Linked DNA regions of Elephas maximus indicus. The protein of the gene in region 3 binds, or shares a complex with, the protein of the main gene of each other region. Links are inferred from orthologs where the notes say so. Each region holds a gene or a part of one and is shown on either strand. Other genes may lie near its edges. The genes, in order: E2F6, MYBL1, TFDP2 and E2F2.

The links.
Region 1: TFDP2 (region 3) and E2F6 share a complex: the UniProt entries of both Homo sapiens proteins name them as parts of the DRTF1/E2F transcription factor complex. The link is inferred for Elephas maximus indicus from reciprocal best matches to the Homo sapiens genes TFDP2 and E2F6.
Region 2: TFDP2 (region 3) and MYBL1 share a complex: the UniProt entries of both Homo sapiens proteins name them as parts of the DREAM complex. The link is inferred for Elephas maximus indicus from reciprocal best matches to the Homo sapiens genes TFDP2 and MYBL1.
Region 4: TFDP2 (region 3) and E2F2 share a complex: the UniProt entries of both Homo sapiens proteins name them as parts of the DRTF1/E2F transcription factor complex. The link is inferred for Elephas maximus indicus from reciprocal best matches to the Homo sapiens genes TFDP2 and E2F2.

The regions. Positions count from the first base shown.
Region 1 is NC_064830.1:26,134,980-26,142,695, reverse strand, and holds the start of E2F6 (transcription factor E2F6), read left to right. Parts: upstream 1-4,530; 5' UTR 4,531-4,825; coding exon 4,826-4,954; intron 4,955-7,716. UniProt on the Homo sapiens protein: Inhibitor of E2F-dependent transcription. Binds DNA cooperatively with DP proteins through the E2 recognition site, 5'-TTTC[CG]CGC-3'. Has a preference for the 5'-TTTCCCGC-3' E2F recognition site.
Region 2 is NC_064833.1:75,973,516-75,981,602, reverse strand, and holds the start of MYBL1 (myb-related protein A), read right to left. Parts: upstream 3,199-8,087; 5' UTR 3,196-3,198; coding exon 3,098-3,195; intron 2,584-3,097; exon of another isoform or gene 2,274-2,583; coding exon of another isoform or gene 2,254-2,273; intron 1-2,253. UniProt on the Homo sapiens protein: Transcription factor that specifically recognizes the sequence 5'-YAAC[GT]G-3'.
Region 3 is NC_064841.1:17,687,436-17,695,555, reverse strand, and holds the start of TFDP2 (transcription factor Dp-2), read right to left. Parts: upstream 3,263-8,120; 5' UTR 2,550-3,262; coding exon 2,465-2,549; intron 2,162-2,464; exon of another isoform or gene 2,019-2,161; intron 1-2,018. UniProt on the Homo sapiens protein: Can stimulate E2F-dependent transcription.
Region 4 is NC_064821.1:63,970,242-63,977,548, forward strand, and holds the start of E2F2 (transcription factor E2F2), read right to left. Parts: upstream 3,004-7,307; 5' UTR 2,501-3,003; coding exon 2,249-2,500; intron 1-2,248. UniProt on the Homo sapiens protein: Transcription activator that binds DNA cooperatively with DP proteins through the E2 recognition site, 5'-TTTC[CG]CGC-3' found in the promoter region of a number of genes whose products are involved in cell cycle regulation or in DNA replication.

The DNA.
Region 1 (7,716 bases), on a different chromosome or scaffold from region 3:
TCACTGACCCTCTACTCTACCAAGCATGGTGCTCTTCTCCAGGGACTGGTCCCTCCTGATAACATGTCTGAAGTATGTGAGACAAAGTTTCACCATCCTCACTTCTAAAGTGCATTCTGACAGTACTTTTTCCAAGACAGATTTATTTGTTCTTCTGGCAGTCCATGGTGTATTCAACATCCTTCTCCAACACCATAATTCAAAGACATCAATTCTTCTTCTGTCTTCCTTATTCATTGCCCAACTTTCACATTCATATGAAGTGATTAAAAACACCATGGCTTGGGTCAGGCACGCTTTAGTCCTTAAAGTGACATCTTTGCTTTTTAACACTTTAAAGAGGTCTTTTGTAGCAGATTTGCCCAAATGGAACGCATCATTTGATTTCTTGACTGCTGCATCCATGGGCATTGATTGTGAATCCAAGTAAAATGAAATCCTTGACAACTTCAATATTTTCTCCATTTATCATGATGTTGCTTATTGGTCCAGTTGTGAGGATATTTGTTTTCTTTACGTTGAGGTATAATCCATACTGAAGGCTGTGGTCTTTGATCTTCATTACTAAGTGCTTCAAGTCCTCTTCACTTTCAGCAAGCAAGGTTGTGTCATCTGCATAACGCAGGTTGTTAATGAGCCTTCCTCCAATCCTGACACCACGTTCTTCTTCAAAATAGGCCATCTTTCAGATTATTTGCTCAGCATACAGATTGAATAGGTATGGTGAAAGAATACAGCCCTGACACACACCTTTCCTGACTCTAAACCCTGCAGTATCCCCTTGTTCTGTTCGAACAACTGCTTGTTGGTCTAAGTACAGGTTCCTTATGGGCAAAATTAAGTATTCTGGAATTCCCATTCTTTGCAACGTTATCCATAACTTGTTATGATCCACACAGTTGAATACCTTTGCATAGTCAATAAAACACAGGAAAGCATCTTTCTGGTATTCTCTGCTTCAGCCAGGGCCCATCTGACATCAGCAATGATGTCCCTCATTCCATGTCTTCTTCTGAATCCAGCCTGAATTTCAGGCAGCTCTTTGTCAACGTACTATAGGTTAGTAGTCAAGCAAAAATCTTCTGCACCACCCACGGATCTTTTATAAGAATATCTTCTTCACAGGCAGTTGTGTGAGAAGGCACTTGCAAGCTATACAAAATTCAATTTCATTTATTTCTTCTCTGTGCTCCCACAGCATGTTATGCGCGTTGTAATTTAGTTCTTACACTTCCAGGTTATGTGTCTCCACCAGGCTGGGTGCCCCTGGAACACAACATAAGGTCCCTGTCAGATTTAGTTGTACCCTCAACACCTAACCTACTGCCAGGCACATGACAGATGCTGTGGCAGTTAAGGTTGTGTGTCAGCTTGGCTGGGCCATGATTCTCAGTGGTTTGGCAGTTATGATGCAGTCTGGCAGTCATAGGATGATGGAGTCACTTCCATGATGAGATTTGATATAATAGGATCACCTCCATGATAGGATCTGCTGTGAGTAGCCAGTCAGTTGGAAGGGAGTTTCCTTGGGGGTGTGGCCTGCATCCAAAATAGGTGGATTTTCTGGCAAGGCCCACAGGCTTTTGCTCGCTCTGGATCTTGCTCCTGTTCATCTGACCTCTAGTTCTTGAGACGTGAGCTAGCAGTTTATCTGCTGTCTTGCCCACTGATCTTGAAATTCATCAGTCTTCGCAGCCTGTGAGCCAGAGCCAAGTTTGCCAATCTTGGGTTTGCCAGCCCCCGTGGCTATGTGACTCAGGAGAAGCCTCCAGCCTGACCCACGGACTTGGGATGTTCCAGCCTTTAAAACCGCATGAGCCCCACTTCCTTAATATAAATCTCTCTACATATATATTATATATTTATATGCTTTACTGGTTTTGCTTCTCTAGAGAACCCAGGCTAAGACAGATGCAAGTGTGTGACATGTGTGAGTGATTCTCAGGGTAAAGCTGATAGGTGCTGTCAGTGCCTGGAGGTGTGTCCCAAACAAGTCCCTGACTCTCCACAGCTGTTCTCATGCCATTTCTTCAGCCTGGAGTGCCTGCCACCCCTATCCGGACCCACACCCACCTCACTCACCTGACCCCATCTCTGACTGTAGAATCCCCCAACTAGTCAGAATCCTCTCAAGGATAAGCATACCAAATTAATTAATCAGCCGTGGAATTCAAATTCTGGCTCTACCGCTACCTAGCCAGGACTTGTTAATCCTCATTTTCCTGATCTACAAATTGGGCAGAAAGACACATATCTTTCAGTTGTGACACGAGAGTTTCATGAGAAAATGTGTGCAGAACATTTATCAGAATGCCAAACACGTAGTAGATGCTGGATAAATGTCTATTATCATTATCACTACTCCTCCTATTACTACTACTCTTCCTCCTCCTCCTCCTACTGATACTAATACTACTCATACTACTACTACTCTTACTCCTACTCCTCCTCGTCCTCCTAATACTACTCCTACTACCCCTACTCCTCCTACTGCTCCTACTTCTACTCCTCCTACTACTCCTACTCCTCCTACTACTCCTACTCCTCCTACTCCTCCTACTCCTCATACTCATTTCCACGTGCAGTCACATTGATAGATACATGGGTGGGGCTGCAACATATTTAGGGTTAGGGGATATAACTCAACCCATAACACTTCCTCTACCCATCAGGGACTGCAGGAAATGCTGAGATGGTCTCTGGGCATCTCATGCCCTGAGTACCACACTGCCATTGCTACTTCATCTACCGTGGTGTCTGTGCCATGGTCATACAGGACTTCCCAGTGAGACCTGCCACCTCCCTGGGCCTCACCTGAGTATGCTGTCTGCTCTGAGGTCCTCAAACTTACCTGCTCATGTCCCCCACCCTCTTGGGACTGGGTACAAGGGAGCAGGTTCAGGGTCCTCATTCTCACATCTCTATTGTTTCCTTTTCCAACTTTCTTCTTGTCACCAGATAAGAAAACATTTATTCTGACTGGAGTAAAGGAAATTGATTCAGCCTAATCATGAAAGGTCTTCAATCTCTCATTGAATCTTATCCTTCGAGTTTAAAACTTTGTGTGTGTGTGTGTGTGTGTGTGTGTGTGTGTGTGTGTGTGTGCATGTTCTCAGGCCTTATTCCGACAGTTCTCCATTGGAACAAGGAGGCCGCAAGACTTGAAGTCCGAACAGTAGAGAAGACAATTACTGCCCCATCGTACAATTTCAAAATACTTTGATAAGAGCCAGGTTAGAAACATGCATGGAGTCCCTGCGTGGTGTAAATGGTTAAGTGCTTGCTGCTAATTGAAAGGTTGGAGAGGTTCGAGTCCACCCAGACGTCCTTGGAAGAAATACCTAATTCTGAAAAATCAGCCATTGAAAACCGCAGTTCTACTCTGACACACCTTAGGATTGTCATGAGTGGGAATTGACTAAACTGGCAACTGGTTAAAAAAAGAAATATGCGCAGGATACTAGTTGAGGGCTAGGAGAGGGGGAGAGGAACAAATATGGAAAATCAAACAAAGACTAGGGGAATGGGGAAAAAGAAGTAGTTTTCTGAAGAAAGTGATGGCTAAGTTGAGTCAGCTAGGACCAGTAAAAACGGGAAATTATTGATTCCAGGCAGAGAAAGTAAGATGTACAAAGATCCAAAAGTAAGAGAGTATCGTCCCTATTCTGAAACTGAAAAATCAGACCGGACCTCGGTGTGTAAGGGAGAGAGACACTCCAGGTGAGGCTTACTTAAGGGGTCCCTGGGAGCCACATTGTGAAGCCCTTGTGTGCTATGCTGAGGAATTTGTCATTGGCGGGTTAGAAGGGAAGTGACATGTGACCATAATATAAAAATGTATTTGTTTCTCTGATCTTGGATCAAGTCTATGCCAAACTCAAATGTGTATCTCCTGTGTCCAGCAAACACCTGACACAATAGGTAATCAACAATTACTCATAAGAGGAAAAGAGGAAGGAGAGACAGAAGCATCTAAGGAAACAATTGCGCAGTGGTTTGGTTGCCAACATTTACTAAGCATCAGCTATGGGCAAGAGCCTGTGATGTGCAGAGGGAACTACAAGAATAAAGTAGCATCCCTGCGTGCTCAGGTTTACTTATTAATGTCAGTAATTCTGAGACCACAGTGGCGTTTTCCCGGGTGTCTCTTTTCTCTGGAGGAGTCCTGCTGGTGCAGTGGTTTAAGCTCTGGCTGCTAATTGAAAGGTCGGCAGTTCAAACCCACGGGCTGCTCCACGGGAGAAAGATATGGCAGTCGGCTTCCCTAAAAAATTACAGCCTTGGAAACCCTACGGGGCAGTTCTACTCTGTCCTGTGGGGTCGCTGTGAGTAGGAATCGACTGGACGGGCAACATGTTTGCTTTCTTTTCTCTCATCCCGGTTCCCTACCTCTGGAGTTCCTGCCCCACCTCTTCCTTTCCTTCGCCACCCTCTCCGAAGGATCCGCCGTCCGGGATTTCCCGCGCTCCGGCCAGCCCGCCGCTGGGAATAGATAAGTGCGTGGGAGCGCTGCGGTAGCGGCAGCGGCAGCGGCAGCGGCAGCGGCAGACATGCGCAAAGGGGGCGGCGCACCGCGCATGCGGGAACATGGCGGGCCTGACATCTTGAACAGTAGTGGGTCACCTTCCTTTCCTCCCTTCTGTGTTAGCGACGCTGAAGTTCGTGGGGGTAGTGACGCTCCTGTGTGTAGGGCGGCCTAGACAGGCGGCGCCTCGGAGGAGTCGCAGGATCTGGTTCGCGCTGAGCCCCCGGAAAGCCGTGTGTTGGAGGCGTAGCTCGATCAGAGCGGGAGAAGGCGGGAGAGTGCGCAGGGTGCGAGGGGCGAATGGCTGCTCGGCTCGGCAGCATGAGTCAGCAGCGGGCACCGAGGAAATTGCCCAGCCTCCTCGTGAACCCGGCGGAGGAGACCATTCGCCGCCGCTGCCGAGACCCGATTAACGTGGAGGGCCTTTTGGTAAGCCACGGGACCGTGGGGTGGAGGGTCTCGGGCACCGGGCCCTCTCTGGGAGGAGAGCCGGGCTGGCCGTCGTCTGTATTATGAGCTCCCCCAGGGCTTCCCCTCCGTCTTCCCGGCTCTCCCACTGCCCATCACGGACTGTGAACCAGACTGGCTTATTTGCTCCTACATGTGTTGTCAGCTTTTTTGGCTCTTCCCTCGGGGCTCCAGAGCACTTTTAGAGAAAACTGCTCAGCCTCGCACGGTAAATGCATGCTTGTCTACCTAAACTGGCCGTTCAGTACATCTCTGCAGATTTGTTTTTCTCTTCAGCGTCTTCTCGCATTCTCCCGCTTAAATGCAGAGGTTTAAATCCTTGTCCACATCTCACATTTCCCACCCTACAGCTCTCCATTCAGTAAATTAGCTTCTGTCCTGTTTCACAGAGAAAGCAGAAGGGAGATTTGGCTCCCTCTCTGCAGAAGCCTTATTTCGTCTATTCTTGTTCTAGACTGGAAGTTCTATTCTCTGGGGTTCTCAGGGCACATTGATGGACCCGTCATTTTCTATTTCGGTCGATATTTTCAGTTTCTCTGCTGGCTTCTTTCTGTAACTTGTGATAGCTAAACAATTACTGAACAGTCAGATGCCCGGTTTTCATGTCAAATGGTTTATGAATATTATCTCATTTAATTGCTCACAGCAATCCTAAGAGATAGGCACTGTTACAGTATTATTCTTTTTTTTCTGTAGTGGTGTGTGCTGTGGAGTTCTTTCAGACTCACAGTGACCCGATAGGGCAGAGTAGAACTGCCCCATAGGGTTTCCCAAGCTGTAATCTTTACAGAAACAGATCGCCAGGTCTTTTCTCCCGTGGAGCCGATGGGTAGGTTCTAACAGCCAACCTTTTGCTTAGCAGCCGAGCACTTAAACGTGTGTGTTACCAGACCTACTGCGATATATCTAGTTGATTCCGACTTATAGCTGCTCTATGGGACAAAGTAGAACTGAAAAAAAAATTTTTTTTTTTTCATGGGACAAAGTAGAACTGCCCCATAGGGTTTCCAAGGATCAGCTGGTGGATTCGAACTGCTAACCTTTTGGTTAGCAGCCAGCTATTGACCACAGCTTCACCAGGGCTCCTTATTCTTGTTTTATGGTTGCCGAAACAGATTTGGAGATGTTAGGTGATCTGCCCATGGTTAGATAGCTGGTAAGATAGCTAATGAGCCCTGATTTAACCTCAGAATATCTGACTCCAGATGATAAATTCTTGACTGCTTAACTGATCCTTGTCTTAAAAGACTGTCCCTTAATTTTATATCCCCTTTCATCTGCTGTATGTCTTCCCCTTCACAGACAAGCTTCTTAAAATAGTTGTTTGCACTCACTTTGTCCGCTTCCCCACCTCTCATTAACTCTTCAACCCACTGCTCTGGGACTTCTGCCCTGCCCACACCTCTGAAGGGTTGGAACCAAGCTCATCATCCATCTTGTTAACTCTGATTAGATGTTTCACTCGTCTCCTGTAACTTTCACACAATTAACTACTCTCTCTTGTTCCAAAGTCTCTCCACTGAGCTTCTCTGACACCGCATATTCTTGGTGCTCCATCTACCTGTCTGGCTTCCATTGTGCTCCTTTGCAAACTCATCTTCCCCTTCCCATTCATTAAATGTTGGTGTTTTTCAGGGCTTTTGCTTACCTTCTATCTTGGTAAATAGTACCACACCCACCGTATTGCCCAAGCCAGTATCTTAGGCATCATCCTTACCGTCTCCCATCTCCAAACTGACCCCCTTCATCCTCCCAATCCAATTAAAATTAACCAGCAATACTCACCACTTCTAACCATTACCTGTTTTTTTAGATTATTGCAGTGTTTTCCTGTTTCCAGTCATGCCTCCCACTTTCTCATATGTTCTCCACATAGTAACCATAATGATCTTTGTAAAGTATATTTCTGATCATGTCATTTTGTTTAAAGAATCTGTCATGATTGCGTAGTGCTCTCAGAATAGAATAGAATCTCCTTAATGAAATGTGGCTCCTGGGTTTATCTTTTCAGCCATCCTGAACTGCTTATAGTCACTAAAGTTTTCCATATCCTTTCTTAACCCCCAGGTCATCACATGTGCTGTTTTCTTTGTCTGAGATGATTATGTATACTGCTGAGTGTTTGGTGGAGCCCTGGTTTCACAGTGGTTAAGAGCTCGGCTGCTAACCAAAAGGTCAGCAGTTCGACTCCACCAGCTGCTCCTTGGAAACCCTATAGGGCAGTTCTGTTCTGTCCTGTAGGGTTTTTTAGTGTTTGGTGTTGCCTGAGTAAGTGAGGAGAGCGCAGTCACCTCAGAGAAAGGTGCGTTTCCAAAAAGCTCTCGAAGGAATGTTACCACCCAGAACAGAGAATTGGGAAAGAGGCATTTGTGAAGAGAAATGTATAACCAATTTTGAGGCATCGCTTCGTATTTTAGTCCCTGAGATTCATCTTTTATTCTCTTATTCCACCTTGGAAGAAGCGTCTGAGGTCATTTCAGGCTTCGGCCAGAAGTAATAGGGACAAGGGACAGCGTGCTAGCCTCTGAGATCTCAGAATAGAAGAATAAGGCCTTTAGATGTGTGATTTGGAGCAGTAGTGAAATCCCAGTTTGGAACTTGAGAGAATAAACCAATTCATCCATTAAGAGCCATTGGTTCCTAGGGAAGCACTGAGATCATACTTAGTGGTTTTCAACTTAGAGGCTTATGCCTTCTCCATTCATTTTCCACCTAACATACAA
Region 2 (8,087 bases), on a different chromosome or scaffold from region 3:
ATAATCATATTTACATATACAAGAAATATCATTTAGAGCAGAAAAGACATTCACGTATGAAGACCCTAAGAAATCTGAGTAATTATTCTGAGATAATTTCTCACCACATCCTTTACCTGTACTCCCATAAGAGAGTGTAGCTTGAGTCCACCACATTACTGCAGACTTAGGACTCTTCAAATCACTCTATGTTTTAATATATGTAGCTGACAAAGAATTAAAATCAACAGTGCAATATATGTTTAGGTTTCAAAGCTCACAGAATTGTCAGTAACAGAAAACAACATATGTGATTATAAAATGGACAGAGAACCGGTTAGGGAGGAGAGGGTTCTGACATTCAAACATCCGTGTCTAACCATAACTTTAAGTGCTGGGAACAGCATTAGCCAAGAAAAATCAACAACAATACTAATAGGTAGATAATGCCACACACTGAAGATAAAAACTTTTGAGTTGACATAAATTTTCACTTGTCACCCTGCTTAATGAAGTTACTTTATTTACGAATTGTTTGTATTTAAAAGTTCAAATGAAAAGGCCTAAACCAGTACTTCAGTAATCATCATTACAGGACCTTTTAAAATCTCTTTTCTGAAGATCAAGAGGTTAACTGGGTCCTTGAAGTTCTAGAACAGTGGATTCTAAACCAGAGGTGATTTTGTTCCTCAAGGGTCATTTGGCAATGTCTTGGAGACATTTTTTGTTACTGGCATTTATTTACTGAGTAGAGGCCAGGGATGCTGTTAAGAATCTTACAATGCGGAGAACAGCCCCCGAGGACAAAGAGTCATTTCATCCAAAATGTCAATAGCAGTAAGGCTGAAAATCCTGCTCTGGATAAGTGGGTTTTTCATGTGTATGTGTGTGTATACATTTGTTCCAGCTCAAGGGTCTGCCCTATACTGTAGTTGCTACAAAATAATAAACAAGGACTTAGTTTACAGTTTATGTTGATTTCTGCAAAATATTTTGTGCATACTAGAACCTAAACCAAACCCACTGCCATCAAGTCGATTCCGACTCATATCCAGACCCTGTAGGTTGGAGTAACACAGAGTTGGGCTTCCAAGGAGCAGCTCATGGATTTGAACTGCCAGCCTTTTGGTTAGCAAACGAGCTCTTAACCATGCACCACCAGGGCTCCTTGTGCATACTTGGTGCTTAACAAATGAATAAAGCACAATATGTGTAGTTACTTCCAATTTTGAGTTTTTAAGAATCTTCAGTAAATGAATCCAAGTGATAAATTTCGGCTGAAGAAACACATCTCTAGTTAAGAAGGCTGTGGATCTAGATAAATAAAAACATTGTGAAATTATGCCAAACATCTTTTCAGGTTTACATGATACTGCAAATTAAAAAACACCCAGGGTTCTTCTGTTTCCATCATTTAAGTGGTTACTCCACACAATTTAGAAGTAGCTGCTATAGTAATTGGCTTTTGTTTTTGTTTACTATAGTCATACACAGATAAAAATTAGATGTATAAATTTATCCTAGCATTTTCCAACAACAAAAAAAATGTGCCCTATCTCTGTGCAACACATAGGTACAGTCAGAACCAAACACGGACACTCAAAATATTACGTGAGTGAAATACATTGTTTTATTTTAAGCACAAGCTACTGATAGTAACGATGTGACATCCTCCCAGTAGAAAATATTTTAAAATATACATAAGCTGAGAGCATGGGTACGAATGATTACAGAAAACAGGAGAAAGGTACTTTCTCTTCAGCTATTCCTCGGAGAATTTTCCATACCTTTCAAGGTAGCCAAGTTGAGAGTGGGGTCCCCGCCCAGGTTTATCAAGAAGTTCCTAGTTAACGGGTACAGTGATTCAGAAAAGAGAGTCCCTCTGAGCCCCGTGTTCCAGTCCTCCAGGCAGGACACTGCCGTTTGTATCTGCGTAGCTGTCCCCTGAAAGCGCGCAGACTTACCTGGCCAGAAACCCTTTCCCACCGAGAAATGGCTCTGAGCAGTTAGGGGGCTGGACGCGCGCTGCGGGGAGGATCAGCTCAAAGGAGCAACCTGGGCAGCTGTTACTCCATTTCTGTGTTTTAATCACAGTGGTCCCCAACTCTCCACACGCCGCGGGGGCCTCCCCACAGAGGGGCCGCAGCGGCTGTGGGGCAACGGGCAGGCAAACTCTACCCCGGCTGGGGAGAGCCCGGGGAGGGACGGGGGGACGGGAGAGGGAATCTAAGCCAGATGGCGCCGCCAGGCCTGGGCAAAGGGGATGTCACCCACCTGCGCGACCTCTTCGCCATCCTTCAAGTACCGCATAGGCGCGGGCTGGGCGGAGACGCAGTTCAGCCTCCTCCAGCCTCAGGCGAATGCTCCTTCTCCCCGACCTTCCCGCTAACTTCCCTCGCACCCTCCCCGGAGCTGCCGAGCGCGGAACGCACGTCCCCGCAGGGCAGGACGGAGGGACAGAAGGGCGGACCGCGACCCGCCCGGACCCGCAGCCCCGCTCCTAGCCCAGCCCTGCCCGGTCAGGGATGCCCCGACATATCAGGAGGCGCGCTCTCGCCCTCTGCCTGTCCCTCCGCCGCCCTTCAGCCTCCTCGCTGTAGTCCCAGCGCGGCTCCGCAGAGGGCGACGACCCCCGCCCCGCCCCGCCCCGCAGCGAGCAGCTCTGCAGGGCTCGCAGCCTCCTGCAGGGTTTTGTCCGCACCGCCGAATCTCGCGCCCAGCCTCCCTCAAGAGCCGCCGTTTGAATCTGCGCACGCGGCCCCGAACCTCATTGGCTGTGGCGGCCGCAGCCGGGGGGAGGGGGAAGGGTGGGGCGGGGAGAGCGCGCGCGACTGAGGGCGGGGAGGGGAGCTGGAAACTGGGACTGGAACTCGCGGGAGTCGGGGCAGGAGCCGGGAGCTGGGGGTGGGGCCGCGAGGGGCGCGCGGGCCGCGCTGTGACAGGAACCGGAGCGCGCCCAGCGCAGCAACGCGAGGGGGCGGGCCCTCGAGGGCCGCGCGCGGCCCGCTGGGAAAGCGAGTTCCTGCGCTCGCCGAGGGCTGAGTCGGAAGCCGGGGCGCGTCAGCCCCAGCCGCCGCCAACTGCCCGGGCGGGCGGCCCCGCGGGTGGGCCGGTGTACCTCTTTGCAGCCGCTTCTCCGTCTCCGTTCTTCCCTCCTTGGGTGTATCCCAGCTCAATAGGAGGTGAAGTCTTCAGACTTGAGATGAATCTGACCATAAACCTACGCGGCCGTTATTTTTTAAGCAAACATTTAAGCTGTCTTTGCCCAGACATCATAGTTACGGGAGTGGCGAAGATTGTGGCAGGAAACCGAATTTCACCTATTTTTTCCCCCCAACATGGCAGGAGTGGGACAGGTGAAAAAAGGTTTTCATCAGGAAACGTGTTTAGAACGGGAAAGGGAAGTAATTCATCTGCGGCTGGTCTTTAAAGTGCTTAATCTCCAACCCCGCTGTACAGGAGTTATTCGGTGTGCATCGTGGAGGAGCCCTAGACCGGGAGGAACATGCAGGGAGACAGCAGTGCGCTGGGAATCTCGCCCAGATTCAGAGTAGCTTTGCCTGATGAGTACGGTAGTCAACAAGTGACCGTCCTTCCGCAAGAGACAGAGGGAAAGGAGCTGCATTAGAGAAACTTCTAGCAGAGGTTCCAAGTTCAGTAGCTACGAATTGCTCAAATCAAGTAGATTAACTATATTAACGATCAGAAATGGCCAAGGATCCAAATTTGCAAGGCAACATGCTCTACTGCATAGAGCACTGAACCACATATTAATATTGTAACATTAACTGGCATTTTGCTATTTTGACATTTCACGCGTCATCTTTTGCAAATCGGAGATGCAGGTGCAAATGTGAATTAAGAGGAGCTTGCATGCAAGTTACTGTCAAAACACCTGCCTTCTTATAGTTCCTTTTTCTCAAGGTAGGGGTTCTGGGAAGGTAAAGAAGCTTTTCTTGTAAATCATTCCTGTGTTGGTGGTCCACTTTAAAAAACAAAACAAAAACACCTAATTTAGAAAGCAATGTCATTTGGAGTCAGTGTTTTCTTATTTATTCCTAGTCATACACTACTCCGTCATTTATATTCTAACAGCAGAGCTTCTGCCGTATTTTAGGATATAGTCAGTTTTACACAAAATAAATTTTTAGAACTTGAAGGCAGGCGTTTGAAATTTTGACAGTAAAATAAATCCCTCTCATTTTACAGGCAGGAAAAAAATTTTCCTCGGGAAGATAGAACATGGCAAAATAAATTAGTCATAAAACTAAAGACAAAGTGTGGAACTAAAGTGGTAAGTCATTTGAATTTACATACTCTATCATAAACCAGGCTGGTTTTGGATAGTTAATGCTTCTCAAGTTTGTCCAGTGAAGTACCTGCCCTCAAGGTAGAGAGGATTGAATACTAAGGGGAGCAGGAGGGGGAGGAAGTGTCTGGGAGCAAGTGTTGAAAACTTCTTTGAAATCTATCTTTAAAAACTCATGTAAAATTTTGCATTCTATTCCATGATAAATATATTCATGTTTTTATTATAAAAACATTAAAAACTGCTTTACTAATTCACTTTCATACTCCACATCTCTAAGTAAATTGCTTCCCAAGAAAAATGCACCATGGTCATCTTTCAGACAGCTGTCCCTCTTCTCATCCTCCCCCAGTCAAAGGCCAGATACTCAAAAAGTTTGCTTATACTAGTCTGAAAAGTGCCTAAAAGATTGTGCTTTTAATAGAGTTGTATCAACCATTCTCATACGGGGATTTTTTTTTTTTTTTTGTCTGTTTTATTCCCTGCTAGATCCACACAGCCCCTGGAATAGTGACACAGCAAGATTTTGCTCAATAAAATACTGTATCTGTAGAATGAATGAATGAAAAAGGGCAAAAATAAGCAAGCACTTAAATATTCATGGTCACAAGTTGGCAAAAAAAAAATTAAAATAGATTTGAAATAACACTTTGTAAATACTAAATTGTTCTAAACCATGCGAAAAAGATTTTAATAATTTCTCGGTGGGGGTGTTACTGAAAACTGATATAATCCTTTTGGAAAGCAATATCAAGCAAAAGTCATAAGGATGTACATAGCCTTTGAAAGACATTTTATGTTAATAACTGAATAGAAGCAAAAAAAAAAAAACCCTGTTAAATCCAATGGACACTTGAAGAAATAAATCCTCATCTTACCTGCCCTTTCTACTGCATTTGACTCGATTACTGCCTTTTAATTGAAACTTCATCTCAGTTTCTGTGACATCACCTCCATGATGTCCATTCTATACATCCCTCAAACCACTTTGCAAGCCCCCAGCTCTGCCTGCTCCTTCAAGGTTGGCATTCCCCAGTATTCAGTATTCAGTTTTTAGCTCTGTTCTCACTTCACACTGTCCTAAGGAATCTCACCCACTCCTGTGGTTTCAATCATATCCTGTAAGCACAGGATTCAGCAGATCTTTACTTCCAGCCCCAACCTCCCTCCTGAACTAGATCTCTCTCCACCTGCAAGAGCTAAAATCCCAAAATTCAACCTCTTTGTAAGAACAGGATTCACCTTTTTATTTATTCTCTTTCCATTAGCCTCTCCTCTCCATCCCTACTGCCAGTGCAAGCTCTCATCTCTCACTCAGCTACAGGAAGTCTTTTAACTGATTTTCCAGCCTCTAGTTTTGTCCAGTCCAATACATCCTCCATACGGCCACCTGAAGGATCTTTTAAAACATAAATCTGTTTTTTTCTGCCCAGCTTTTAAAAGCAAACAGAGTAGTGGTTACCTAGAACTGAGGGGAAGGGTTGGGAGGAAATAGGAGTGATTGCTAATGGTTATGGGTTTCTTTTGGGGGTGATGAAAATGTTCTAAAATTAATTGTGATTGTTGCACAACTGTGAATATACTAAAAACCATTGAGTTGTACACTTGAAATGGGTGAACTGTATGGTATGTGAACTATAGCTCAATATTAAGCTGTCATATTAAAACAAAACATAGCTTTCATTGGCTTCCCATTGCCTACAGGATAAAGTCCTTAATATGACAATAAGGTAACTTGATGATTTGGTCCTACACCTATCACCCAGCCTCATAAAAACTATTATCTGATAAGCAGCTACACACTAAGTTGCACTATGTTAAGTATTGAACATACATTATCTCATCTATGTTACTAATAGAATTCCCATCTTACAGATGAGGAAACTAAGGCTAAAGTGGTTTAGTATTACTAGAATATAAAATTGGAAATGAGATAGCCTAGTAGAAAGATCTGAACTCAAGATGCTTAGGAGAGGAGGAGGTTCTAGTTAATCTAAGGCATAATACTTTACAGGTATTAGAGTAATTATGAGTATGTCACTTATTTACCTGCACCTTATTTTTAAGTGCATTTTCATGTGCAATTTTTGTTTTAAGTTGGTACTGGGTCTCAGTTTAGAGATCTAGGTTCAAATGTGACTCTGCTATTATTTTCCTAAGTTAACCATCTCTTAGCTAGTTGTACCTATAAAAATTAACTTATTTGAGAAATATGATAGTAATTTAGAAGCCAGAATGATGATTTTTACTGGTAATGGGTTGAGGTGCTACACCTGGAACTGCTTTTGACAACAAACATAAAGGATAAAGTAACAAGTAACTTCAAATACTTATACAAGAGTTTACAACTATATAATGCAACAGAATAAACACCTGATCAAGAATCAGGACAGCTGAAACTTTCTATGTGATCTTGGTCAATTCATGTAATATACTTGAATTTTTTGTACACATCATGCTTTCCATGCCTCTGTGCTTTTGCACATATTTATCCTCTGTCAAGTATGCTCTTCTTTGTCTGTAAAATTTCTGTTTACTCATCAAGACCCAACTCAGATGTTACCCTCTCTGGAAAACCTCCCTAAATCCTCCCTCTACCACTCCCTAAAGATTCCATTAATCATTATCTTCTACCTCTGTTCCTGGAATATATCTCTGCTGATGCATTTATCACATTTCAGTATAATCTGTTCTTCTCTTATTCATTCTCTTAACCTAACAGACTATGAGTTCATTTATCTCTATAGTACCAATGTCAATTGAGTAGGTGTTCAATAACTTTGTTAAACTGAACTGAGTGATAAGATTAATACTAAACAGTATTTCTTTTCATCTAAGAATGAGGGATCCCCTATGCTGTGTGCCTAAATCCTTCCTATTACACTAATATACATGAGGATCCCTCATTCATGGGGTAATGTGATGGGCCATACACATGCTGTGTACACAGTGGGTTTGTGCTACAGCTTAGAAAACACTGAGCATGGAGAATCTACTGCTTTTATAGCAAGCAGCAAGCGGGCTTGCTGTTCTTTCGCAACAAGGAGATGCTACCTCATCTCTCAAGTTTACCAGCTGCAAAAATAATCCTGAGAAATATCCTGGGCAAAAGAGTGGTCAGGGTCTTGGAATCTTGGCACACCCAGCAAGATGTGTGTAGGACTGCAAGAGGGCCAAGGAGGACTGTCTCTCTCAGTAGTAGCCATATCAGTATCTCTAAAGGACAGGCCTATAGTCCATTCTTTGAATGTCATCTCCCTATTTAATTTGTCCTTTGTTTTTACACATTCAGTGAATGAATGAAAGATAAAGAATGGTTTTTGCTTATATTTTTTAGCCTTGCTTCTTCGGCAAAAAGCAAAAACACTACGCTTCCTTTGAAGTTAAAATGTCTTCAGTTTACAAAATGATGGCGCCACCTAGAGGAGACAACAAGTCCTGAAATTACCCTGTGTAATTTCATTACAAATTTAAGTCCTGGGCTTTTGGTTCAAGATGGTGGATTGAGCATATGTGATTACCTATTCTCCATACCTGGTGGTGTAGGGGTTAAGAACTACTGCTGCTAACCAAAAGGCTGGCAGTTCAAATCCACCTGGTGCTCCTTGGAAACCATATGGGGCAGTTCTACTCTGTCCTATAGGGTCACCGTGAGTCAGAATCAACTCAACAGCAATGGGTTAATGGGTTTATTCTCCATCCCAAACTCATGTTATTACAAATGCAGAAAGGGGAATGAACCCAAAATAGCTATAGGTGGAACAGAAGGAACATCAATGGACCTGTATTAATGTATTTC
Region 3 (8,120 bases):
CAAATATTTACTAAATGCCTCAGATGTGAAAGACCTGGTGCTGAGCACTGGGTTTTCAAGAGCTGACTTTAAGAAATGCAGAAAGTTATAAAGTGTATGAATAAATGTGCATTATACAAGAACACAGCACTTCTCTTTGTGTTACTGGTAAAAGGAAAAGGCTTTTACTTTATTCATTATGAATTCTACAAATTCAAAAACTTTTTTTTTTAATGTTGGCTGTTTTCGTGACATGCATATTGCCTGCAAATTCTCCCATCCTTCTCTTTGCAGCAGATAATCACTCTCCCCTTTTTCCATTAGCAAGGACCCTAAGCTTACTTATCTTTTGAGAGGCAAAACAGCAAGACAGCATTTCAATTAAACCCAAAATATTTCTTTCACATTTCTTATTCAAAGATCTTCTGGAATAAGTTTCATGCTTCTCATAGAAGATGAAATGACTTACCAATATACACAACTGATGTTTCACATTTTCAAATTCATTTTGAGCCTTCCTAACTATCACGAGATTACAAACTTTTACATTCTCTGAGTAGTCCCTAGATATTTTATAATGACTTAACTTTTGAAAAATACTCTCAATAACCTGATGCTCAATTTTTTTTTCCTTAAGTTAAATGGTCTAAAATAAAATATCCCACTTTTGCATTAATTACACACAATTTTTGAAGATGGGGGAAACAAAGTTTCTGCAATGGGTTGGTTATTCCAAATATGTTACTCTAATACTGATGTTCAAATCCTGAGTATAAAAAAAGAAATTTTAAAAGACTAAGCTTTGTTGATTCACTGATTAAGTCAGATTTATGACCTCCCCTCCCCATTCCAGCTACTGTGTTTTGAATGAAACAACCTCAATTGTAACAGAAGAAACATCTGTTGCTCTTTCTTCATCAGGGCTTTCCTGCCTGAAAGGAAGGCTCTCCCCCTGATCTCCCCCTTCCACTCCCCCCCCCCCACACCAAGTTCCTTAAAACTTGTTCTAAAGTAAATGTATTAAAATTATTTCAGATTGTGCTGGATCTATACAATGTCACCGTTGATCTAGAAAGATTCACTTTTTTAATTAAAGCGCATAGAATGGCTAAGTTCCATACACATCAAAAAACAAGAAAGGTGACCGATGTTCCATTGTCACTAAAATGCAGACTTGAAAAGTGTATACTTGAAGTGATCAACTCAATCAAGTTGTCACACATTCCCGGCTCACTCAGAACTGCTTAGAGTTTTTTCTTTACGGGATCCAGATGCATATAGAATCTTGCATGCTATATTTTCTTTGCCAGCCCAAAGCTAACATAATGGCAGTCACTGCCCCGAGAGGCAGACACCAAATGGTGCCACCCACACCCTCACACTGCCTCATAATAAACCATAAAGCAGTGGAATGCACCAGTCCCTTTATGAGCAAACAATGCCTGAGCTTCATTAGAATACAGCTGACATTTTCAAAGCACAAATAGTTTTAAGAAAAATGTTCTAGGTGGAAAAAAAAAAAGGCATGAAACAGCTATAAAATCTGAAATATTTTTCAAGTGTCAGGTTTATCCCTCAAGATCCCGAGGAAGCCTATTTGGCTGTTGACAATTTAAATTCTCCATAAAAAAAAAAAAAAATGTATAGTTAAGGGTAAAGTTTATTAACTGCTAGAAAGAAATGGAAGTAAAAATCATTTGAATTGCTTTCAGAAGTTAAAAATCACAAAGTACCTTTCAAATTATTCCCGTCCTCAAATGTTTCTGTAGCTCTTGAATGAAAAACACTGAACTCTAGAATTATTTTCACATTTTAATGAATTTAGGTAAGTAACTGAGTGATAAACTAACTCTACCCCTCCCCCCCAGCCCACCCCAACCCCCATGCCCTGTAGTTTCCCTGTCTGCAACAAGCAAGGACGTCTTGATTTCAGCGTGCTCTTAGCTATTTACCCATTTACCATTGCTGCTGTTTAAAGAACAGAAAGCAAACGCTGTAAAAACTCACCCAGCACTAAGAAACAAAATGCTCTCTCTTACCTGGTCTAAGGAAGCATGCCTCTCACTGCAGTACCAACAACACTCTACAGTCTTTGTTACCATTCAGTGGAAACTTGAGACTGTGTCAGACATAAGCAATCGAGCTCAGAAAAGATCCATTTAAAATACTCCTCAGTAAAAAGAAAAAAGATGCTCAAGAAAACTAGCTATTGGCTTTTAAAAGACCTCTAAATACTGCCTAACGTAACAAAGAGACTTCAAAAGAAACTGGAAACACAGGTCCTAAGAGACCGAAAGGGGCTTTTTTAAGGAGCCTTTCTATGTTGGACCTTGCTTTCTTACTAAAGTTCTTTTTTTTTTATTATGTTTAAAATAAAAGGGGTGAGATGGTGAAATGCCTAACTCCAAGCTAACGCTTCTCTAAAAAAATCACTTGAATTTAATCACTTGAATTTTAGCTGGCTAAAAAGTAAGATTAAACTTACTCGTGAAAGCTGAAAAATTCGAATTACACATTTCAGGGTATTTGCTGGCTCTGAAGCAGTCACGCAGCAGCAGATCTGAATGCATCTTGAAAGCAGAGCAAAAGCACCGAGAGTTACACGAATAAAAATGGGAAGAAACTCTTGAAAAGTTGGTCAAAGCTTTTTGAACCTGAAATAACTGTCCGGCTCTTCTGAGAGGGAGAGAGAGAGGAAAAAAAAAAAAAACCTGGTCCTGCCCCCTGAGATAGGAGGCTACGCTTCAATGCCAAAATGAATGACAGGCCCATTTCTGATATCAACAAAGAGCAGCTTAGTCGTGTGTGTGTGTGTGTCTGTGTCTGTGTCTGTGTGTGTCCGTGTCCATGTCTGTGTCTGTGTGTGTCTCTGTGTGTGTTTACTTTCTCACACAGTTAAAGGTTCTAAAATTTTCAGATTACTACCCTGCGCAGCGGTTAAGAGCTCAGCTGCTAACCAAAGGTCAGCAGTTCCAATCCACTAGCTGCTGCTCGGAAACCCTATAGGGCAGTTCTGTTCGGTCCTATAGGGTCACTGTGAGTCGGAATCAACTCGCCAGCAACGTTTTTTTTTCCCCCCTTTATTTATGTACGCTAAGTACCTTTTTCCATTTTCTCAAGAGAGCCCCAGTTAATGTCCCAGTTTTAAAAATGATTAATTAAAAATATGTACTTAATCATCTCAGTTTTTCTAGCCAGGAAGTGGAACCAAAGCTGACTTCTTCTGTTCCTTCCCAAATCTATTCTTTATAAAATCAGATAATCAAAAGACTAATTATCAATATCAGTAAGCTTTCCCTGCATCCTGGTCGTGGGCACAAGGAGAAACAAGAAGTAGGGAACAAACATTAAAAGGTAACCGAGATCATAAAATTTTTAACTAGCTAGATGTAAAAATAATGCCTATAATCATACAAATTCAAAACGATAAACACTTGGATCAATGGCATATATTTACTGAATGCCTTTTATGAGTCAAGCACTGTTTTGGGCTCTAGGGATATAGCAGTGAACACAACAGACAAAAGCCAAACAAAAACCCCTGACTTCAGTGGGCTTATTACCTTACGTCTCAGCTCCCTCTATGAACAGCGTTTCTAGTGAGTAAGGTACCTTTCCTTTTTTGATGAGTTACCACCTAATTGGAAAATGCAGCCCTGGAGGCTCAGTGGTTAAGAGCTCGGCTGCTAACCAAAAGGCTGCAGTTCGAATCCACCAGCTGTTCCTTTGAAACCCTATGGGGCAGTGCTACTCTGTCCTATAGGGTTGCTATGAGTCAGAATCAACTAGACAGCAATGGGTTTGGTTTAAATTTGAAAACAGCTTTCGGGGGCAAGGATTTTGAGCTTTGCTCAGTACTGTATATTCAATGTCTAAAACAGGACTGTTAGCTAAATAAATACACATTGAATGAAACAGATCAAAGAGAGCTTTTTCTTAATTAAACTTTTCTTTTGTAAATAGACTATGTACCGCTTTTTACACTTAGATGCATACAGAGATATAGCAACAATGATATAGTTTAGGGTCTAAATTAAAGTGGGCTATAAACATATTAAGGAGCCCTGGTGGCACAAACAGTTAAGTGGCTGCTAATCGAAAGGTTGACAGTTCAAACCCACCCAGCAGCTCCACGGGAGAAAGACCTGGAGATCTCCTTCCGCAAAGATTATAGTCAAAAAAAACCCTATGGGGCAGTTCTACTGTATTATAGTAAAAAAAAAAAAAACCTCTATGAGACAGTTGCTGAGTCGAAATCAGCTTGATAGCACCTAACAACAATAACAAATATATACTAGTTTAAACAAAATTAAAAATACCACCTATATGGCCCTGTACCTTTTCTGATTCTAAAATCCTTTTCCACTATCAGGCGTGAGATCACTGTAATATTTAAAGGAAAATTGGTTAAACTTCTACAAACTAAGTTTTTGTGAGCAGTCAAATTTTGGAAGACTTTTGAATAAAAAAAGAAACTTGGAAATTACACAGAATCCGCTCAATTTTGTGTATTAAAATATTTTATGTTTATATATAATTTTAAACGCCCCATCCTGCTTCTCACCATTCTTGATCTCCTACCAGCAGCCAGGTAGAGAAAAGAACTGCACACCTCTACCTGTCAGATGAGAAATGCTCGCCCATGTCACCCAAGACCAGGATATTCAGGGGCTAGCTATGGTCATGTCTACTTTGCTACTCTGTTAAAACAAAAGGAAATTAAACTTTCAGGTACCCAAGTACACTCACCATACTTTGGAGAGCTGGACAGCGATTACAAGTTCACACATTTAGTATTTGTTCTAACATAACCTTTCACGTAACATTTCAGGAAGAAATGAAATGACTGAGGTCAAGAGTCGTTAAATGGGTGGGGCCAAAGTAGGATTCCACTGTTCCCGTAGGAATAATTTTTCTTCTCTCTAACTACAAGCCAGAGTCCCTGGGTGGTGCAAACAACATGCTCAGGTGCTAACCAAAGGCTAGGAGGTTCAAGTCCACCAGAGGTGCTTTGGAGGCAAGGTCTAGCAATCTAATTCCAAAAAATTAGCCACTGAAAACCCTGTGGAACAACTGCCTCCTTTGCCATGAGACCCAGAACTGGATGGAGCTTGGCTGCCATTACTGAACATTTTGATCAAAGATTCTCTAGAAGAATCCTGATCAAAAGAGGGGAAATGTGGCACAGAATTTAAAATTCTCATGAAATCTAGGCTTTCTGGAGCCATGAAGCCTGGATGAACCCCTGAGATAATCTTTAAACCTTAAACCAAAAATATCCCCTTAAGTCTTTTTAAAACCAAACAATAGTTTAGCTTAAATAGTAAAGAATGCCTGCCTGAGCACTGTCCTCTTTGAAGATCTATCTATATGGGATCAAACTAAAAACAAGAACTTGAAAGATTAGATAGGAAACTTGGGGAGGCAGTGAGTTTGTATTAATGAGGGAGAAACAACTCAGAAAACGAGGGTGAGAACGGTTGTACAACTCAAAGAATAATCAGTGTCACTGAATTGTACATGTAGAAATTGTATGTTCTGCTGTGTATATTCTCAACAACAACAAAAAATAAAATAAATATAAAAAAAGAAAACCCTATAGATCACAGTTCTACACTGATATACACAGGGTCTCCATGAGTCGGAAGAGACTCAACGGCAACTGTTTTTTTAACCACCACTCATTCCTTCCTTCAACAGATACTTACGGAGCACCACTTACGTATCAGGCACTGAGACAGCAAACTGACCTGCTCCCTACTGCCTACTCTATAGATCTGACCCTCAGGCTATCTCTATCCCTCCACCTATTTCCGTTCTCCCTGCTTGCCTTCCTTCCTGATGACCCCTCTCCAGTCCCAAATTCTTCACTCACACTGCTGTTTCCTTGATATAGATCTCTCTGTATACATTTATACACTTTACTGGTTTTGCGTCTCTAGAGAACCCAGCCTAAGACACAACTCTAATTCATGTCATGTCAGATCCCACGTATGTTAGAGCAGAACTATGCTCCACAGGGTTTTCTTTTCTTTCTCTTTTGTTTTTTGCGCTATAGAGTTTTAATGGCTGAATTCTCAGAAGTAGATTGCCAGGCCTTTCTTCTGAGGCACCTCTGGGTGAATTTGAACCTCAGGCTCTCAACCGAGCATGTCAACCATTTGCACCAATAAGGGACTCCACTTTAAGCAACACATTCATTCCAACTATTGATTATCTCGAAAACACCAAACGTGCCTAGGCATTCTTTCCCCTGACTTTATAAGCTGAGTTATTTTGACTGGAGTTTGCTATGTGTTTTAGCAACATGAGCAAATATTAACAAAATATTCCTATAGGCAAAAATGACACTATGATAGCTTAATGAAGTTTTTTTTTTTTTTTTGCCCATAGTTGCTAAATATAACTATCTACCAGACCCATATGACGGAGCAGAAATCAGTGACGTCCTGCCTATACTTGCTAACATTTTCAAGGAAAATGTCTGATCTTCTTGATGAGCGCTATAACTAAGGCAATGAATTCCTATCACCACTTCCATGGATAAGACTTTGTTTCTCAAAAACATCACACAGTAAGTAACTTTGCTTTGCTCACTCCTCTTCTTCATTCTATGCTGTAAATGTAGACATTTTTCAAGGTTCTGTCCTTGATGCTCTTTTCTTCAAGATCTACACTCCCACTTCTATGACTTAACTATCACTTCTGTGTAGATGATTACAAAAAATTAAAGCTCTGGCCTTCTCTGTTCTGCTCTGCTCTAAACTCTTATTTTCAACGGCCTACTGCCCATCTCTACCCAGACATCCCACAATCTCAAATGCAACTTCTACACTATTCAATCCTTGGTCTACCTTCCCAAACCAGCTCATCCTCCTATGCTCTCCACCCTTGTTAAAGACATCATCATACAGAATTGAAAGCAATTTTCTATTCTTGCCTCTATTTCACCATCCAAATGCCCACACTGCTTCCAGTGTTTTTCTAAAACACATGTCATTCCCTTATGTCTTGGTTATTTAGTGCTGCTATAACAGAAAACCACAAGTGGATGGCTTTAACAAAGAGAAATGTATTTCTTCACAGTAAAGTAGGCTAAAAGTTCAAATTCGGGGTGTCGGCTCTAGGAGAAGGCTTTCTTTTTCTGTCAGCCTTCTCATCAGTCTTCCTCCGGACTAGGAGCTTCTCTGAGCAGAGACCCCAGGTTCAAAGGACGCGCTCTGCTTCCAGCACTACTTTCTTGGTGGTATAAGGTCCCGCTGTCTCTCTTCTTGCTTCTCTCTTTTATATCTCAAGAGATTGCCTCAAGACACAATCCAATCTTGTAGATTGAGCCCTGCCTCACTAACACAACTGCCGTCCATCCTCCCTCATTAACATCACAGAAGCGGGATTTACAACGTACAGGAAAATCACACAATACAGGGAATCATGGCCCTGCCAAATTGATACACACATTTTTGAGGCGACACAATTCAATCCATGACACTTTGGTTTAAAAACAAATGAGAAAAGAAATATAACTTCTGATGGCTTCCCAGTGTCTAGAGCTGTGCTATTCAAAATGGCAGACTTAGCCACATGTGGCTATTTAATATGATTAAAATTGCATAAAGCTTAATTTTTCAAGGACTTCTTGGAAGATGGCAGCATGAGTAGGTTCATGATTCTGGATACCTCCTTGCCATGATCACCAAGGGAAGCAATTAAAAAGCCAAAACCAAACCCATTGCCGTCAAGTCGATTCTGACTCATAGCAACCCTATAGGACTCTGTAAACTCAACTATATAAGAACTCTGAAAAGCTAATGGAGGGTTAAAGAAAATAAGCACAAGTGGAAACAAGAGGAAGGGAGCTTTAAAAAAAAATGATTTATATTTTTGGTTGTTGAAAATATATACAGCAGAACATACACTGATTCAATAATTTTTACATGTACAATTCAGTAACCTCAATCACATTCAAGTTGTGCGACCATTCTTACCCTCCCTTTCTGAAATGTTCCTCCCCCACTAACGTAAACTCACTGCCCCTAAGCTTCCTATCTAACCTTTCCAGTTGCTATTTTCAATTTGATCTCATATAAATAGTTCTTTAACAGAGCACAAAGCACAAGGCAGACATTCTTTACTAATTAAGC
Region 4 (7,307 bases), on a different chromosome or scaffold from region 3:
ATCATCACCGGTTCCTGCAGGGATGACACTGAATAATGCAATGTGCCCAGCCAGAGCAGGCACTCAAAGAAGGTGTCTCCCCTGCCTCCCCAGAGGGTGGTGGAGTAAGAATTAGATGGGGAGCAAGGAGACCTGAAGTCTGGTTTTCCTTCTGCCACGGAACTTGGTTGCTGTCCCTGGAGGTCCCTTTAAACAGCAGCTCTCTGACAAATCCTGCTCACCCTGCACTTTGCAGTCTGGCCACAAAGCCAGCAGTCACACCCAGGGTTGGGTTTGGAGCCGCTCCAGGTCACACCCTTGTCAAATGAGTAAGCAAGGGGCCAAGGCCTGCCCATGAGGCTGAGGAGCCTGGGCTCTGGGCCTGATAGAGGTGCTCAGGCCCCAGTGGCAGCACCTTTGGGGTGGTCTCATGCAACGAGGATCTCCCACTTCTTGTGACTTGGGCAAGTAACTTCACGGCTCTGCTCAGCTTCCTCGTCTGCAAGATGCCTCATCCCCAGCATCTTGACTAAGACAATGAATGTGAGGAGTACCAAGCAGTGGCTGGCACACTCGAGGCGTTCGGTAAAAGAGCCATTCTTGCTGAGATCACTGAGGCCCTCTGGGAGGGATGGTGCAGACAGATGCACTGGGGCTCCTCTGGGAGGGAAGCAGCTCAAAACCACAGCTGTTACTGAAACTCCGCCTGGGTGTCAGAAAGCAGCTGGCCAGAGGAGAGGCTGGGCCCCACCACTGAGCCCCTTCCCTAGGGGAGGCCCAACTCTGAGGCTGGAAAATCTAGGGATAAGTCAATGTTGCATTGAGAAGAGACTACCTGTCACCTGTCTTGTGGGTCGAGAAACCTGAGGCCTGGTCCCCATTCCACCCTGTCCTCCTGTGTGGCCTTGGGCAGGTTACATGCCTTCTCTGAGCCTGTTCCCCTGTAACATGGAGCTACTAACAGCAACTACTTCACAGAGTACAAAAGGGGTTTATGCTATAAAATGCTGAATGCAAGAAAGCCACCTAGTCCCAGTTATCCTTGGTTTTGCTTGACCTGTAAAATAGGGATAATAGCACCTACCGCTGCCTCCTCCTCCCTCTTAGTTGGAATAAGGCTCAGGGAGTGACTCTGGACATGGGCAAAGCATGTTTCTGATGGCAGGAATAGGGACTCTGCCTGCATCTAGAGATGACTGGGAGCCTGTGCCTGCTGACTGACACAGGTGTGCCAGATGCCTTTGGAGGAAGGGAGTGGTCTTATCCTTGTACCTGAGCGTATTCACCACACCCTGGCTAAGCAAACCTGCAACACCCCCAGCTCCCCTCCCCATTCTGCTTACAAAACCCAGGACCTGGAGCTGGAAGTGACCCAAGATGATCTAGGCCCCCAGCTACCTGACAGACACACACATTTTCCAGATAAGGAGACTGAGAATCAGACGGGGCCTAGGCTTATCCAAGGCCACAAGTTAGTGGCACAGTCAGGACCAGAAACCAGGCTCCCCAACCACCACCTGCCCCCCAGGGCTTTTCCCACCCCTCCCCCACCCTATACTTGTTTCGATTCCCATGGGCTCCAGGAGCTCGCCTCCCACAAAACATGCCCTGTGCCGAGGTCAGCAGGCAGCCTGTGCCTCCACGCTTTGGGCCTCCCTGGCAACAGGCCTGGGGCTTGAGGAGGGAACAGCCAATCTCAACAGGAACCCCAAGTGCTACCCCTGATTTGCACCTGCTACTGGCAGTCTAGGAGGGAAGAATGAGCCTGGGGAAGGACCTAGGGCAGATACTTAGGAAGGAGTTTGCTGAATGGATAATTTCAAGTCTGTCCAAGGAAGACTGGACCCAAGACCTATCAGACCTGTGCTCTGTTTTAAAGTCCCCATGGTGTCCCCAGACCAAGCCCTGTGCATGGACAATAGCAGAGGCCCAGTACTGGTTTCTGGAGGAGACAATGAATGAAAGAATGAAGGAATGACGTTAGTGTTGGCTCCAGGGACTTCCCCAAGGTCACGCCATGTACTCGGGGCAGTAGGCTGGATCTCCAGACTCCCCATCCAGTGCTCATTCACTCTACTCCAATGGAGGAGGTTATTTCACCCAAAGTGTGAATATGAAGGGGCCTTCTACTCGGGTGTTGGGGGCAGTGGGTCGTTCTGGAGGCTGAACACAATCATCCTCCTCCCAAAACTCTGAGTCCCAAGCGCCCCTCCCTCCTTCCTACATCCAGAAAAGCATAGGGAGAAGGGGTGGGAATCCCCAGCATTACCGGCAGCCGGCCTGCGGGCACGCATCGCACAGCTTGGCCCTCTGGTCCGTGAGGGGTCGCGTCGAGGCAGGTGCCCGGTGCCGCGGTGGGAGGCACTGTCTGCTGGTACAACGAGGTGTAGTAGGTGGTGGTGGCCGGGCAGAGCTGGGGGCTGCCGAGTCCAGGCGGCCACAGCTCGGTGGGACTTATCGCGGGCAGTCCCTTTTGGGGTGGCCCGGCGGCCGGAGCCAGGGCCCGGGGCCCTCGCAGCATGGCGAGCGCAGCGCCCCCTCCTCACCCGAGCCTGGCGCGCCCGCGGGCACCTGCGGGCTCCAGAGCCCGCAGCAGCTTACACAGCCCGCGGCATGGCGCGGAGGCCGGGGAAAGCCGCCAATGGACGCCTGCGGGGCAAGGCCAGACCCTCCCCTCCTGGCCCGTGGCCGAGCCAAGCTGCGCTTGGAGATCGCCGCTTGGAGATCGCCCGGCGGCGGCGGCGGCGGTGGCACGGGCAGGGGCTGCCCCGCCCCGAAGGCGGCCGCGACCCGGGACGGCCCAGCGCCCCTGAGGCCTCGGCGCTGGGGGGCCGGCCTGTTCCGGGGAGGGGACTTGGGGCGCCCGCAGGCTCGGCGAAGACGCGATGCACTCGGATGGGGGTGGGGGGGCGATGGCACTGACTCTTCGGGCTCGCCCTCTAGTTCCCGAGCCTTTCTCTGCCTCTTTTTTTTCTTCTTCTTTTTTTTTTTTAGCGCCAAACTGCGTGCCGCGAAATTTGGATCTCCCGCGGAAAATGCCGCGCTTCGATTGGCTGCTGCAACAAGAGCAAGCTCCACCCCCCGGAAAGGACCTTTCTTCGAGGCGGCGATTGCAACACGAGCTTTGCTGCTTAAAGGGGCCGCCGCACCTGTTATCGCCTGGTGCCCGCCGGGGCTAGCAGCCCGAGAAGCTGAGACTGGGAGGGTACTCCCGGGACGTCGTACAAGGCAGAGACAGCCAGAGCAGGGAGAGCGCGCCGAGGAAAGGACCCGAATTCCCAGGGGCTGGGGGAAAGCATTTGGCACGGTGTCCTAACCTGAGCCCAGACCTACCAGTACGTTCCTCAGGCCACTACCTTTCGTTAGTTCGCACTAGCGTATATGCATTTATGCCCATTTCCCCACTAAAATGAAAGCCAGGACCCTGTACCTTTTCTCGGAGCCTAACATATCTCTTCATATTTCTCCATCTATGAGCGCCTACAGTATGCCAAGCACCTTGCTAGATCATTATGTATGTTGTTTAATTTGATTCAACAGTCCTGGGAAAAGGAGTGATGATCACCATCATAAAGATGGAACATCTGAGAGGCTAGGTAAATTGTCCAAGGTCATACAGCAAAATTTGCTGATTGGCAGAGCCGACAGTTGAATCTGGGACAGTCTGGCTCCAGAGCCCTTGTTTTTTCCAATAAGAGGTTCCTCCCCACCCACCCAGGCTGTGCCCTGCCCCTTGCAGACACAGGGGTCCAGAGTGCAGAGCCCTGTCTTGTTCACGGTTGTATTCCCAGGCCCAACACTAGGTAAATGTTCAGATTTCTCCTAAAACAATCCTTTTGTCACAAGAGCCTCCTCCCTCATTCAAAAGCCTTTATTGCTGATAACCAAAAAACCAAACCCACTGCCATCGAGTCGATTCCAACTCATATCATAGCGACCCTATAGGACAGAGTAGAACTGCCCCATAGAGTTTCCAAGGAGCACCTGGTGGATTTGAACTGCTGACCTCTTGGTTAGCAGCTGTAGCACTTAACCACTATGCCACCACGGTTTCCTTATTGCTGATAATCCAATAACATTTCTCATCTCTCTTTTTTAGGGATGCTGAGGCTTTTTTTTTTTTTTTTTTTTGAGGCTTAGAGAGATGATGGAGCTTGTAAGTGGCAGAGCTAGAAACTACTGCTGGATTCCAGGTCAGCTGATTCTTGCCTGGTGCCCTGTGATTTTTATGCAAGTCTAAGCCTGGCATTCAAGGCCCTCCAGAGTCCTTCCCCAGTTTAATAACTGGTCAGATTGTGAGAACAACGTAGCCAGAATGCATGATGAAGCTTAAGAACCCAAGCTTTAGAGCAAACAGCCCTGGGTTCAAACCCAGGCCCTGCCACTTACTAGCTGTGATCCCATGCTGGTTTTCTAGTCTCTGAGCCTTGTTTTTCTCATCTCTAGTAACACCCACCTCATAGGATTGTCGGGGAATCTCATGAGATAATGCATGTAAAGCTCTCAGCACAGAGCCTGGCTCCTAGGAAACCTGAGAAATGGCAGCTGTTATTCCATCTCTGGCCTTATCTCCACTACACAGACCCCTTCACTCCAGTCTACATATCTCACTGGTCTTTTAAGGCCCAGCTTAAATTGTACCTCCTTCAGGAAGTCTTCCCTGCCTGTCTGCCATCTCTCAGTCAGAGTGCTTCTGGCCCTCTCTGGAACTTTAGTATGTTCTACCTCATGTTCCAAGACTTTGTTTTCATCCCTTTTTTATCAGTTAGGTTCAAAGCCCTCTGTAGGGTCCAGGTCATATCCTTCTTTGGATACCTCTCAGCATCTAGGACCTGGCTTAGCATGCAAAATAAATATTGATGATATGATTCACTCATCTTCCCAGTAGAGAGTGGCAGATGTTAATGAGATCTGAAGTCCAAGTCAGAAGGCCCCAATTCAAGTCTCCACTCTCCACTTCCTAGCTGAGCAACCCAGGACAGGCAGCTGCTCCACCTCTCTTAACCTCAGGTTCCTCAACCATCAAATAGGGATAATACCATCAGTTTTGTTTTTTGTTTTTTTTAATTTCACAGAACTTCAGAGACACTATTGAAATGATGGTGGTGATTATGATTGCTAATGTTTGACAGCCTACTATGTGCTGGGTTCCAAGCACTTCACCTGGAGCATCAGCTCTGATCCTCACGACACCTCTCTGAGACAGGCACTATCATTATCCCCATTTTACAGATGAAGGAACCTGGAAGGAATTGTGGCAGAGCAGGTTTGGGGAAGAAGCAGGGCCCCAGGGCCAGGGAGGGAAATGGGGGTGGTAGGGTGGGGCTGAGAGGAGAGAAGCAAGCCAGCAAGGGAGCTGCGAGCCAGCTCTCTGCGGTTGAGTTTCGGGAGCTCGGGCTAGCTTTAGAGTTTCACTGCCTGGGAACTAATTCTTGCAAGAGGTGTGGGGCACACAGATCTGAAAGCTGTTTCCTTGAGTTTGAATTCCTGTCCCATCTATTCCTACAGTTGTGACCTTAGCCAAGTTACCTAATCTCTGTGAGCCTCAATTTTCTCATCTTTGAAATGGGGTGGCAAAAGTGACCTCTGGGATTACTAAACCAAAAAACCCGTTGTTGTCGAGTTGATTCAATCGAGTGTTAGATGTAAAATCCTTATGGGGTGCTGGGCATGTACCGTTGCCTTCAAGTCAGTTCCGACTCATGGTGACCCCATGTGTGTTAGAGTAGAACCATGCTCCATAGGGTTTTCAATGGCTGGTTTTTCAGAAGTAGCTTACCAGGCCTTTCTCCCAAGGCACCACTGGGTGGACTCCAACGTCCAACCTTTTGGTTAGCAGCCAAGCGCGTTAACCATGTGTACTACCCAGGGACTCTGGGGGGAGGTGTGCAGTTTGCATTTTGGTGTTAGTTGCTGTCAAGTCGATGTAACTCATGGCGACCCCATGTGTGCTGAGTAGAAGTGCTCCTTAGAGAGTTCAAACCTGTGACCACCCACAAGCAGATCGCCAGGCCTGTCTTCTAAGGCACCTCTGGGTGATTTCCAATTGCCTGTTGTCGTTGCTTTATGCCATTGTGTCAATTCTGACTCATAGCGACCCTACAGGACAGAGGAGAACTGCCCCATAGCATTTCCTAGGCTGGTTTTGTTTTAATCTTTATGGAAGGAGCCCTGGTGGCTCAGTGGTTAAGAGTTCGGCTGCTAACTAAAATGTTGGCTGTTCAAACCCACCAGCCGCTCCGTGGGAGAAAGATGTGGCAGTCTGCTTCCATAAAGATTTTAACCTTGAAAACCCCGTGGGGCAGTTCTGCTCTGTCATATGGGGTCGCTATGAGTTGGAATCGACTTGATGGTAATAGTAATCTTTACAGGAAAAGATCACCAGGTCTTTTCTCCAGTGGAGCAGTTGGTGGGTTCAAACCACTCACCTTGAGGTTAACAGCCAAGCACTTAACCGTTGTACCACCAGAGCTCTTCAGCTCTTGCCTAGTAGGTACTTAATGCATTTTAGCTAAGGTTTGTGTGATGGAGAGAAGAGGCCTTCACACTGAACCAGACTAAAATGCTTGTAGTCTTCCATACTTGCTCTATACTTTCCCGCCTCCCAAGCTTTGCTTACAAGGCTCCTTACCTGGGATACTCCTCCTCCCCTCCATCTCATGTGCCCCAATCTGGTCCACCCTTCAAGCCCAGCTCAAATGGTGGACTACCAAGAGCAAAGTCTGGAGTAGGACACTCAATAAAACTTCAAACCATTTTTTTACCTTTGTGCCCTCTTCCCCTGAGTCAATGATGATGACAACAGCTCACATTTCCTGAGCACTTCCTCGGGGTGAAGCACCTGGCTAAGCACTTTACATGCACTATTCTGTTGAAACCTCCTAACTATCCTTTAACATAGGTTCAATACGGACAGATGAAGAAACTGAGGTTCAAACATATGAAGGGACTTGACCAAGGAAGGGCTGGTTAAAGATGAAACTAGGATCTGAACCCAGATCTCCTAAGGCAATGGGCTATTTTGAACAAAGACCTCAGCCGCAGAGCCCCATGTGAAGGAGGGTAAGTTCTGCCAATGAACCGGGGGTTCCAGTGCTGTAGATGTTATTGGGGATGGAAAGAGCAGACCCCACAACCAGATGAGTTAGGGATGCTTAGCCCCATTTTACAGATAAGAAGTCATTAGGTGACTTCCCTGAAGCTGCACAGCTGGGAAGTGAGGAAGGCCCTGCTCCAGCCAGGCCCAAACTGCCCTAGAAAAGCCCCCAAACCAAACTTCCATTCCAGCTGGTGTATCTCTCTCTGCTAAAAAATTGTGTTAGATACCC